3 linked regions of the Pelodiscus sinensis genome follow. The protein of the gene in region 2 interacts with the protein of the main gene of each other region in a pairwise test. Links are inferred from orthologs where the notes say so. Each region holds a gene or a part of one and is shown on either strand. Other genes may lie near its edges.

The links.
Region 1: the proteins of APPL1 (region 2) and UBE2O interact in binary tests that used the Homo sapiens proteins (3 or more experiments, as listed by UniProt). The two-hybrid records come from large-scale screens. The link is inferred for Pelodiscus sinensis from reciprocal best matches to the Homo sapiens genes APPL1 and UBE2O.
Region 3: the proteins of APPL1 (region 2) and ADIPOR1 interact in binary tests that used the Homo sapiens proteins (3 or more experiments, as listed by UniProt). The link is inferred for Pelodiscus sinensis from reciprocal best matches to the Homo sapiens genes APPL1 and ADIPOR1.

Annotation. Positions count from the first base shown.
Region 1 is NC_134730.1:10,274,415-10,278,163, reverse strand, and holds the start of UBE2O ((E3-independent) E2 ubiquitin-conjugating enzyme), read right to left. Parts: upstream 2,899-3,749; 5' UTR 1,920-2,898; coding exon 1,488-1,919; intron 1-1,487. UniProt on the Homo sapiens protein: E2/E3 hybrid ubiquitin-protein ligase that displays both E2 and E3 ligase activities and mediates monoubiquitination of target proteins. Negatively regulates TRAF6-mediated NF-kappa-B activation independently of its E2 activity.
Region 2 is NC_134721.1:27,194,755-27,198,503, forward strand, and holds the start of APPL1 (DCC-interacting protein 13-alpha), read right to left. Parts: upstream 2,833-3,749; 5' UTR 2,552-2,832; coding exon 2,498-2,551; intron 1-2,497. UniProt on the Homo sapiens protein: Multifunctional adapter protein that binds to various membrane receptors, nuclear factors and signaling proteins to regulate many processes, such as cell proliferation, immune response, endosomal trafficking and cell metabolism.
Region 3 is NC_134737.1:16,712,429-16,716,177, reverse strand, and holds the start of ADIPOR1 (adiponectin receptor protein 1), read right to left. Parts: upstream 2,962-3,749; 5' UTR 2,818-2,961; intron 1-2,817. UniProt on the Homo sapiens protein: Receptor for ADIPOQ, an essential hormone secreted by adipocytes that regulates glucose and lipid metabolism. Required for normal glucose and fat homeostasis and for maintaining a normal body weight.

The DNA of each region.
Region 1 (3,749 bases), on a different chromosome or scaffold from region 2:
ACTATTAAATAACCCCACCTACACTATACACAGAGTTAAATGACAAACACTTCTCCAACACATGCTAACTTATGCCAACCTTGTGTTTAGGGTTGCCAGATACTTTAAAAAAAAAATACCAAACATGGTGGGGAAAAAATTGGTCGAGAGGAAAAAAACAAAACAGGGCACCAAAGTTGTTGAGCAAAAAAAAGGCATAAAAGAAAGAGGCACTGAGCCTCTAAATCCCCACGCTCACCGCTTTCCCCGCCAGACATGGCAGGGGGTGAATGTCCCAAGCAGACTTCTGTCAGAGAAAAACAGAATACACCAGATGTTTTTTTTAAAACCGGACAGAAGCCGCAAATACTGGACTGTCTGGGCCAATACTGGATGCTTGGCAACCCTAATTGTATTATGTCCGTGCACAGTACATGGGAAGTAGGGAACTCCAAACACACGTGCATACAATACTGCTAGAGCCGCAGTCTATTAACAGCATTGCACTTGCAGCTTGTGAGCAATGTGCTCCACAATACCTAAACTATTTGTAAAAGTGACTTAGGAGCTACAGGTAATGTCTACACTACAGTCACAAAGTGGGACTAAAGCTTGTGTAAATATACACAAGCTAGTTTTAATCTAGCACCAATGTTGCAGCTATGTACACCTCAGCACAATCTAGCCCTGCAAGTAGCTATCCAGTGTTCTGGCTGACATATACAGCCTGAGCTAAAGCTAGTGCTGCCACAGTCCAGGTATCTAAAATAGCTAGATTAAAGCTAGCTCAAGATGTCTACACAAGCTGCAATCACACACCATGACTGCAGTATATCCTAGGTCTCATGAGTCAGTCAACTGGTTAAGTGAGCTTTACGGCCGGAGTTGATTTATATGCCAAGAGAGAAATCTGAGATCTTACATTCTTAATGAGACATGCCAAAGCTTTTGTATCAGAGAGCAATGGGTTTCCAGGCAGAAACTCTGGGCTGTCCACTTTATGACGTTCCTAGAATTATCAATAGGGGGCCTGATCAGAATGCAGAATTTTCTGAGTAGTCTTTAAGATGGAGGGTGGATGGTGTCATACTTATGCCTTAAATTCACTCACATGGTCTGCCTTGTGGACCAGCAGGGCACCCATAAGAATTTAAGCACTAAGTACAGGCATTTGTGTTTGTAAAACTTGAGTAACAGATGCTGGAAGGTAAATCACATTTGTAGCGGTTGTCCCCTACAGCAGCACAGCTCATCTTGTTATAAGCTGAAAAAAAGATAAATGCTTCCCCTTATGTTAAAATACAGTTCTAGGTGAACAATAAAAATAGCATCATGGGGTCCCATGTTTATTGTCTCTCAATTGTTCAATATCAGAGGTGCTTTTTCTAACTGCCAGTCCTGTAAACTCAACCTGAAACCTGAGCCAAGCTGTGGTGTTCTTTTTTTTAATGAAACCTCATTTCCTTCATAATGTGCACAGGGACCAGCACCACTACCTGATCACCCACCTGGAATTTCCGGACCATTGCCTGACGGTTGTAGTAGGTTTGCTGGGCCTGCTGGGCTTTTTCTAGGTGCTCTCTTACAATGGGGGTTATCCGCGCGATCCTGTCCTTCATCTGCAGGACGTGCTCTACAATATTGTGTCCATGGTTTGTCTGCTCCTCCCAGGTCTCTTTGGCAAGGTCTAGAAGGCCCCGGGGGTTTTGCCCACATAGCAGTTCAAATGGGGAAAAACCTGTGGATGCCTGTGGTACTTCTCGAATGGCAAACATGAGGCATGGGAGTAGGTAATCCCAATCTCTCCTGTCCCGACTCACTACCTTCCGGATCATGTCCTTGAAGGTGCGATTGAACCGCTGGACGAGGCCATCCGTCTGCGGGTGGTATACTGACGTCCTCAGAGCCCATATGTGGAGTAGTGCACACAGGTCCTTCATTAACTTACACGCACAAAGGGAGTACCCTGATCGGTTAGGATCTCCTTGGGTATCCCCACCCTCGAGAAGATTTGAGCTAACTCCCTTGCTATTGTCTTAGAATGGGTATTTCTTAGGGGTACTGCCTCAGGGTATTGGGTGGAATAGTCCAGGACCACTAATATGTTCCGGTGTCCTCAGGCTGACTTTTCTAATGGGCTCACTAGGTCCATAGCGATGCGTTAAAAAGGGACCTCAATAATAGGTAGGGGTATCATTGGGGCTCTCAAGTGTGGCTGGGGCCCATGAAGCTGGCATTCAGAGCAAGAGGCACAATAACGCCGAGCCTCCATATATATACCCCAGGCCAGTAGAACCTTCCTAAAATCCGATCTAGGGTCTTCTCAACTCCTAGGTGACCCCCCCAAATAAATGACTGTGTGCTAGGTCCAGCACAGCTCGCCGGTGATTCTGAGGCACCAAGAGCTGTTCCACCTCCTGTCCTGGGCCTGGCAGCACTCAGTATAGTAGATCCCTCTTGATAATGTAATAGGGTCTAGGGCCCTTGAGCCTTCCTTCTACACGGATCCAGTTTACTTCAACTACCTCTCTACGAATGTTTTGATACAGCGGGTTGTTGGCCTGGTCCTGTCCAAAATTTTCAAGCGAGGGCCCTACCTGCCTGAGCTTTGGGGAACCTTCAGCCTCTTTCATCCCAGGGGGCCCTGCTAAGCTAGGCCCAGCCTCCAGCTCGTTTACCTCTCTCAGTGCTTCATTATCAGTTGGCTCAGTTTCCCCCCGGGCCAGGGCCTGCCTTAGGTTCTGGGTCAGAATTCAAGTACCCAGTTTCTTGGCTGCCCTCCTTTTCTGCTTTGATTTCCGGGGTTTCCCAAGCTCAGAAAATAGGTCCTGGGAAAATTCATGAAAACTTGGGAGGGGGCTCTCTTCCTTTCCCTCAGTTGTAGGGAGCAGGTCACTAAATCCAGGGAAGTCCCACCCAATCACAACTGGGTATGGGAGCCTCGGAACTACCCCCACTGCAACCATTGTGACATTCCCCTGGATCTCTATTTGTACGGGGACAACAAGGTAATAATTGACATCTCCATGGACACAGGAGATCCCTGTGCGCTTGGCATGGGTCAGCTGGTCTGGTTCCATCAGCTGCCCAGAGACCAATGTAACGACGCTCCCTGAGTCCACCAAGGCCGTGGTCTCTATTCCATTCATCTTAACAGGTCGGGTGTACAGATGGGGGACCATTGCTATGCCTGCCAAATTTATGAGATTACAGGGGCCTCCCAGGGCATCCCCCTATTTCTTGGGCTACTGGGTTTTACCCCTGACCTTCCTGCCCCTGGTCCCCAAGTCCATTTACGGCCTCTGGCTGCTCTTCTGTCTCCCTCTTCCCCGGCTAAGTCTTACTCGAGGGTTTAGAGCCACAGGCCTTTGGGGCTAGTCCAAATATCTTGTCTCTCCAGACTGCTTTGCTGAGGGGTTGCAAAAGTCCTTTAGTCATTAATTGTCTTTCCATGAGGGCCACCATGTCGTCATATGAGAAGGGTTCATTCTGGCTGACCCAGGCTCACAGATCGGGTGGTAGGTCCCTCAAACCGGTCCAGGACAATAATTTCCACAATCTTCTCCGGGCTGTAGGTCTCCGGCTGCAACCATTTTAGGGCCAAGTAGATCAGGTCAAATAGTTGTGCCCTTGGTGCTCTGCCCTTCCCATATTGCCACTCATGGAACCTTTGAGCTCTGATAGCAGTGGTTACTCCCGACCTGGCGAGGATCTCAGCCTTCAGCTGGGGATACTCAGTGGCAGCCTCCTCCGGCATGTCGAAATAGGCC
Region 2 (3,749 bases):
TGTGGTAAGCAAAAGCAGCAGGTCCACACCTCTTTGCCAGTGATGAGTGGCCATTACAGACTGCAGTTTGCCTATGAAGACTGACAGTGGATCAACTGGGGCAAAGTGGGTACAGGGGAACTGGGTGGTCCCTAGGAGAAGAACTGGGTGCCCCTTAGGAGGGGAGGACCGTGGAGTGCGCAGTTGGGTAGACAACAGTTCTGCCCCTCCCCCCCAGAAGGGGGTGCAGAGAGACTGGAGTGGGCACTGTTGGAGGGCAGTGTCCAGAAGAGGATGCCATGATCAGAGAGTGACACGGGTCAGGACCAAAGGGATTAGTAAGAACACAGGGAGACACCAGCTAGAGGGAGGCGTCCAGTGAGTGGGAGAGCTAATTCCCGGGACTGCCAGCTGGAGGTTCCATGGTGGTGAGTCTGCCCTGTGACAAGTTAAAATGCATTAGATACATGAACATTTGACTAAGCAGTGGACTACTTATACTTTAAAGAAATTATATTAAAGTAGTTAAACAAAAAACCTACACTCAAGAATGGAGTATACAATAGTGTGTACACTCTCAAATTTTATAGTGGAAGAAACGGTCCTAAAATGTATTAGGATGATGTGCAAAGACACTACAGTAGGTTCTACAAATGCTGATGTCAGATACTCAAATACTTTAATAAAAAACTAAGTAAGTTTTTATGAGTAAGAAGAAAATAGCTTCCACATCACTCTTTTATTTAAACTGAAACATCCATTTGGTTGTCTATAAAGTAAACCTTCTAGTTGTACCTGGCTGGTATTATTCAGGTCCTTACTTTAATTTTTTTTTTTAAACCATACAGGTTGGACCTCTTTGGTCCAGCACCCTTGGGACCTGATAGATCCTGGATGAGGCATTTTGCCAGACCAGGAAAGGTCATTTCTGTGCCTCCGCTGGCACTGGCACCGGCGCCCCCCAGTCGTGGCCTTGCTGCCAGCCTCCCAGCTGGCTTCTCCACATGCAGCGCCCCTGGCCCCATCAAGGCAACACCGCTGCTGGCACACACAGCCCCCCTGCTGGGATCCAGCTGTACTGCCGAGGAGGGGGGAAATTGTTCTCCTTGGCCTCTGACGATAGGACAAGAAGCAATGGGCTTAAACTGCAGCAAGGGAGGTTTAGGTTGGACATTAGGAAAAACTTCCTATCAGGGTGGTTAAACACTGGAATAAATTGCCTAAGGAGGTTGTGGAATCTCCATCACTGGAGATATTTAAGATCAGGTTAGCCAGACAGCTGTCGGGGATGATATAGACAGTGCTTGGTACTGCCATGAGGGCAGAGAAATGGACCTGATGATCTCTTGAGGTAGCTTCCAGTTCCAGTATTCTATGATCGTTCTGTAGGCTCACATTTCTCTGCTAATAAGTGCAGTGTTTGCTTAGCATGAAATATTATGTTTGGGCTTGAGGATGTTACATTGTTCACAATGTCAAGAGGCAAACTATAAAACATTATTATTTAGCTATATTTTCCTTTAATATCAAGCACAACTGATTAAGCAATAAAAGCTGAGTGAAGAAATTAGTGTAATTAAAAAGCTGTAAGCCAGCAGCATGTATTTCCAGTCTAAGCATAGCTCTCAGAAACACTTCATGAATCCAAGCTGTCATCTTAATTTCTTTTTTACAAAAATGTGTAAGTTTTGGCTGGGAGACAGAGAGGCAGGACTCACATTAACAAATATTTTGAGGATTATTTCAAAATAAAACAATTTGTACTTTAAAATTAAGTTCTTAGGAACCAGAGACAGTCACCACAAGTATCACACTTCTGCAGGGCCCTAGGACTAATAGCATAGAGCAGCAGTTCTCAAACTTTTGGGGCTCCGAAGCCCTTTACATGCATAAAAAATTATGCAGAGCCCTAGCAGTCCACTGATTGTATGTGTTGTACTTATGCGGAGCCCCAGCGGTCCACCGATTGTATGTGTTGTACCTATCGATGTTTCCAGTTTGTCGACCTCGCGGAGCCCTGCTCCAGAAACACTGGCATAGGGTGTCATATGATGAACTTCCAAGTTTATAAACAATCAATATGCAGAGCACACCTTCAAGGTAGGGATGACGTCATGGGGAAACTGACACATTAATTGACTCCCTGCTCCAGTTCACACAGTGGCAAAGGGGCAGCTCGGAGTCCATTTATGGCTTGACGCTGCTGTAGTTCACAGCAGCGCGGAGAGCACCAAGGAAAGCAAGGCAGAAAATAGAAGCAGACCCTACAGGACGCTCCTGTGCCCCGAGCCAATGGTTGTTCCCCGGGCTCTTGGGAGCTCGCCCCAGACACCACAACCGCGGTTTCCTGCCCCTTCACCGCACCAGTCAGCCACGCAACCTGCCTCCCAACCTAGCGCTCATTATGCCGCCAACGCGCCCGATACGGGGCCCGAGGGCACCAGCCGGGCGCAAAGCCCCTGGGCCCTTCTTCCAACCTGCGGCAGCCCTAGGCCCGACTCAGTCCCCTTCCTCTCACCTGGGGACTGTCCTCCAACGTCTCCTCGATGGGCAGCTTGTCAATCCCGGGCATGGCGACAGCTGGTCTCTACGGGCCGAGGCGCCCACACACCCTACGAAGCGCCCACCTGACTGACCCCTCCCTCTTCGTCAGCACAGCCACAACACGGGGCCCAGCCCCGCCCAGGAAATCCCGCCTCCCCCCGGCCTCCTCGTTGCTCAACCGAGCCGTCAATCTAGGGGGGCGGGGGAAGAAAGACCCGCGAGGCGAGTGACGCCTGGAGCGGGGCCGCTGCGGTTGCCCGTCCGCGCTCTCCAAGGATGCGAGTGGTTATTTCCGTTAAGGCCGGCACAGCGGGAACCAGGCTCTTGCCCGGGGTGACTCCCTCCCGCGGAGGCCTCCTCTTCGCCCCGCTCCGGGCCCCTGTCTCAGTTTAGCATCGCACCCCGCGCCCGCCTGACTACAGGTGTGAAAACTGTGTGGAGCCGGTCCGGGGTGTGTCTGAGGGGGACACGCCCCCTGGGACTTCGCTTTCCTCCCTCAACTGCAGGACGTTGGGCTTTGATTTCTGCTCAGACATTTCGAGCTTCACGTGGTTTTAAGCCTTCCTTACGCGGTCACAAGCGCGCTGCGATTTCGTTGTCCTCGCCCCCTTCTCTTAGAAGGTTTTGAACGCAGTTCCTCCCCACCATGGTTTGAGCCCACAGGTTGCCATTGTCTTCAGAGAACTTGCTGGCGTCCGATCCTGGTCTGGGAGTTGGCCGCAGATACGTTTTTGAGCGTCAAAGTTGTTTTGGAATAAAACCTTTTAATAGTTATTTTTGGACTTGGTTGTAATGTACAGCAATGTTCATAGAACATAGCAGAATTTTAAGACCATTTTCAAACATGCTTGTAGCTAATCCTCAGTTTGTTAGATCACAGGGGCCTTGTATAAAATATGCTGCCTCCCCCATTATTCTTCAAAGACCCTTTTTATAGCTTTGTGAATAGAACGTCTTGATCTTTAGTACTTGAGTTGAGTGGTTCCCGTAGGTTAGCAAGTTTCCCTGTTAAAATGGATATCTGAGAGGTGTATATGGTGTTCATACTTTGATTTGTCAACACTTTTAAGTTCAACTCCATTCAGAACACAATAAAACGTTTGCAAAATGAAATACAGCACAAATATAAGGTCAAACATTTTAAAGGCTAGTGACGGGGGAAAAAAGAGAAAAATACATTTGAAATAGTAAAATAGTAGTAGGTTGTTTTGTTTTGCTTTGTTTTT
Region 3 (3,749 bases), on a different chromosome or scaffold from region 2:
TGTTGGGCAGTGTATTAGTGCTCGGACGAACACACTTAGACCAAAACCTCTGGCACTGCGCTCACATGATCCCTTCCCCTTCTGGTCAATTTCAAAAATGGCGACTGTAAATAAGAGAAGGAAAGTTGACAGTGAGGGACAGGTGGAAAGTGGAATATTTCTTCACTGAAATACGGAATCACTGTGTTTGTCTGATATGCCAAGAGACTGTGGCTGTTTATGAGGAATCTAATGTCAAGAGACACTACCAGTCGAGACATAGCACATACGACAAGCTAACACGGCGCGACCGCAGTGAAAAGTTGAAGCAACTCAAAGCTGTTTTAATGTCACAACAGCGATTTTTCACAAGAGCCCGTGAGTCAAATGAAAATGCCACAAGGGCGAGCTATGAGGTGGCAACGTTAATTGCTAAAAATTGCAAATCTTTTGCTGAGGGTGACTTTATCAAAGAATGCGTTATGAAAATGGTTGAGAATATCTGTCCCGAGAAGAAGCAAGAGTTTGCCAACATTTGCCTGGCTCGTAACACTGTAGCACGGAGAACTGAAGAGATTTCATCAGATATTAAGAGACAGTTGACGTCCAAAGGAGTGGATTTTGACTTCTTTTCAATAGCCTGTGATGAAAGCACGGACCTATCTGACACAGCTCAGTTGCTGATTTTTATGAGAGGGGTGGACGATGAAATGAATGTGACTGAAGAGCTACTTGACCTCCAGAGCCTTACGGACCAAACAAGAGGAAAAGATTTATTTGTTTGTTAGTTCCGCCATAGATGACATGAAACTGCCTTGGAACAAAGTTACTGGGATTATTACTGATAGGGCACCTGCCATGGCTGGTGAACGAAGTGGATTATCAACCCTAATCTGTAACAAGGTGATCGAAGAAGGAGGCAGAGCTATTAAACTCCATTGTATCATTCATCAACAAGTTCTCTGTGCTAAACATCTCAAATATGATCATGTTATGAAACCGGTGCTAAAGACTATTAATTTTATTCGCTCTAAAGCCCTGTGCCACCGCCAGTTTAAACAGTTTCTACTGGACATCCAGGCTGAATACGAAGATGTTTTATATCACAACGATGTAAGATGGCTCAGTCGGGGGTCTGCACTGCAGCGTTTCTACTCTCTCAGAAAGGAAATCGGAGAATTCTTGGAAACAAAGGGACAATCAATGCGAGAACTATCCGATCCTATTTGGCTGGCTGATTTGGGGTTTCTAGTTGACACAACAAAGCATCTGAATGTACTGAACACGAGTCTTCAGGGGAAAGATGCAGCGGTGAACCAGCTTTATTCACACCTCAAAGCCTTTGGAACAAAGCTGCAACTTTTCATAAGGCAGTTGTCACAAACACAGCCCAATACCATACATTTTTCAGCATTGCAGGAAATAATGAACAGTTTTCCACAGGACAATATCAGTGCGCAAACGAGCAGGTATGCAGCAGACATCGCATCTCTGGCTGGGGAGTTTAAACGGCGCTTTCAGGATTTTGCAGCTATTGAAAAGGAGATCAGCCTTTTCTCCTCTCCATTCTCGGTTGACCCCGATGATGCTCCAGATCAGCTGCAGCTCGAGCTCATTGAGCTGCATTGTGACAGCGAGTTACGCAGTCATCACAAACAGCTCTCTCTTGTGAACTTTTACCGCCAACTGGATAAGAGCCGGGTTCAAGAGATTCGAACATTGGCTAAGAAAATGCTGAGCTTGTTTGGCTCAACATATGTGTGAGAAGACATTCTCTGCTATGAAGTTTAACAAGAACCGCGTGAGGACAAGACTGAGTGACTCTCACCTGCGTGACATTTTGCGCATCAAAACCACTGCCTTTGAACCAGACCTAGCCTATGTGCTGCAGTCCAGATCTCAGTTTCACCCTTCACATTAGTGCAGGCAAGTTTTTTTTCCAATTGAGATGAATACATTGTAAAATCTCAGTTAATGTCCGTTGGTCTAAATCAGTTAAAAATATATTTGGACACAACATGTATACTTGGTGTTATGTTCCTGTTCATATTTTTTGAACTTAAAAGTTGACAGACAACCTTTATTACCAATAATATGTAATGTACTTTACAATGTTCCTGACATATATTTCAGCTTCCTGGATTTTTTTTTCATCTGGCCTTCAGATATGAAAGGCAGAGTGATTTAACACCTGTTTAGATTTGTCATCCATGTGACGAAATGAAAAGTATGTCGTTTGCAATAAACTTTGCGTAAAATAGTTAATTTGCATTTAATTTTAATGGTTCAAAGAATGTCAGGCAAAATGGTCGGCCCTCACGCATGTTCACTTCATCAAATCTGGCCCTCGTTGAAAAAAGTTTGGACACCCCTGCACTAGCCGGTTTCCCAGATGTTGGGTGTGGACCAGCAGGGATCGCTCACTTGATCATTGCCGGCGCCGTTCACACCCTCGGAAGCACCTTGCATTAGTCATCATCCGCAGGCGGGATATTGGGCAAGAGGGACAATCGGACGGAGCGATTCCGGCTGTTTTCGTGCCCTGTATTGTCAATGTCTGGCCGCCGTAGGGGCGCTGAGCGGGGGTCGGGCCGCGGGGCCCCCGGCGCGCTCTGGCCAGAGCCGCGGGAGCCGAGGCGCCGCTGGGAACGGAGCCCAGCGCCAGGCCGGCGGGCTCCGCAGCAGCTGCCCCGGCATCACCTTGGCCGCCTTGACTCTGCCCGCGGCGGGCCGCCTAGGCGGGCCCCGGGCCCGCAGCACCAGCGAGCCCGCCGGGAGGGGACCCGGCCCCCCGCCCGCAGCCGCGCCGCGCGCCTGCCCCTTCCCGCCCGCACTCACCGGCCCTACATCCCGGGCAGCAGCAGCGGCGGCTCCGGCTGGCAACACCGGAAACAGCCTCGGGTGTGACGCCACTTCCGCCAAAGGCAGCACCGCCGCTGTGTCCCACGTGATTCAGGGCACAAGCATTTCCGCTGGGGGCGGGCGACAGGCTGCTGTGATGACCTTCCCCGCGATTGGTCGCTGGTACCCCCCGGCCGATGTGATTGGATGCGTGAGTTAAAAGTGCTTTTCCTGCGCCCTTTGAGCCCTAGGCCTCCCCACGGCTGGGCGCGTGCGCAGAGCTGGCAGCTGCCCACGTGGTGCGTTCTAGCCCCGCCCCTTCCCTGGTCTCGGGGCCTCGCTCACCTGCCACCAGATCCCGGCCCGTGTCCCGCCACCCGCGGTGACCCCCCCCCCCGAGCGGGGCCAGGGGCCTCAGTGACCCCCCCCGTGCCGGGGGAGCGGGGCCTCAGTGACCCCCCCCCGTGCCGGGGGAGCGGGGCCTCAGTGACCCCCCCGTGCCGGGGGAGCGGGGCCTCAGTGACCCCCCCGTGCCGGGGGAGCGGGGCCCGGGGCCTCAGTGACCCCCCCCGTGCCGGGGGAGCGGGGCCTCAGTGACCCCCCCGTGCCGGGGGAGCGGGGCCCGGGGCCTCAGTGACCCCCCCGTGCCGGGGGAGCGGGGCCTCAGTGACCCCCCCGTGCCGGGGGAGCGGGGCCTCAGTGACCCCCCCCCCGTGCCGGGGGAGCGGGGCCCGGGGCCTCAGTGACCCCCCCCGTGCCGGGGGAGCGGGGCCCGGGGCCTCAGTGACCCCCCCCCCCCCCCGTGCCGGGGGAGCGGGGCCCGTGGCCACAGTGACACCCTCCCCCCCCCCCCCCACGCTTCTGGAGGAGCAGGGCCTGGGATCAGAGACTGTCCCCCTGCCCCATCCCGTGCTGGGAGAACAGGGCCG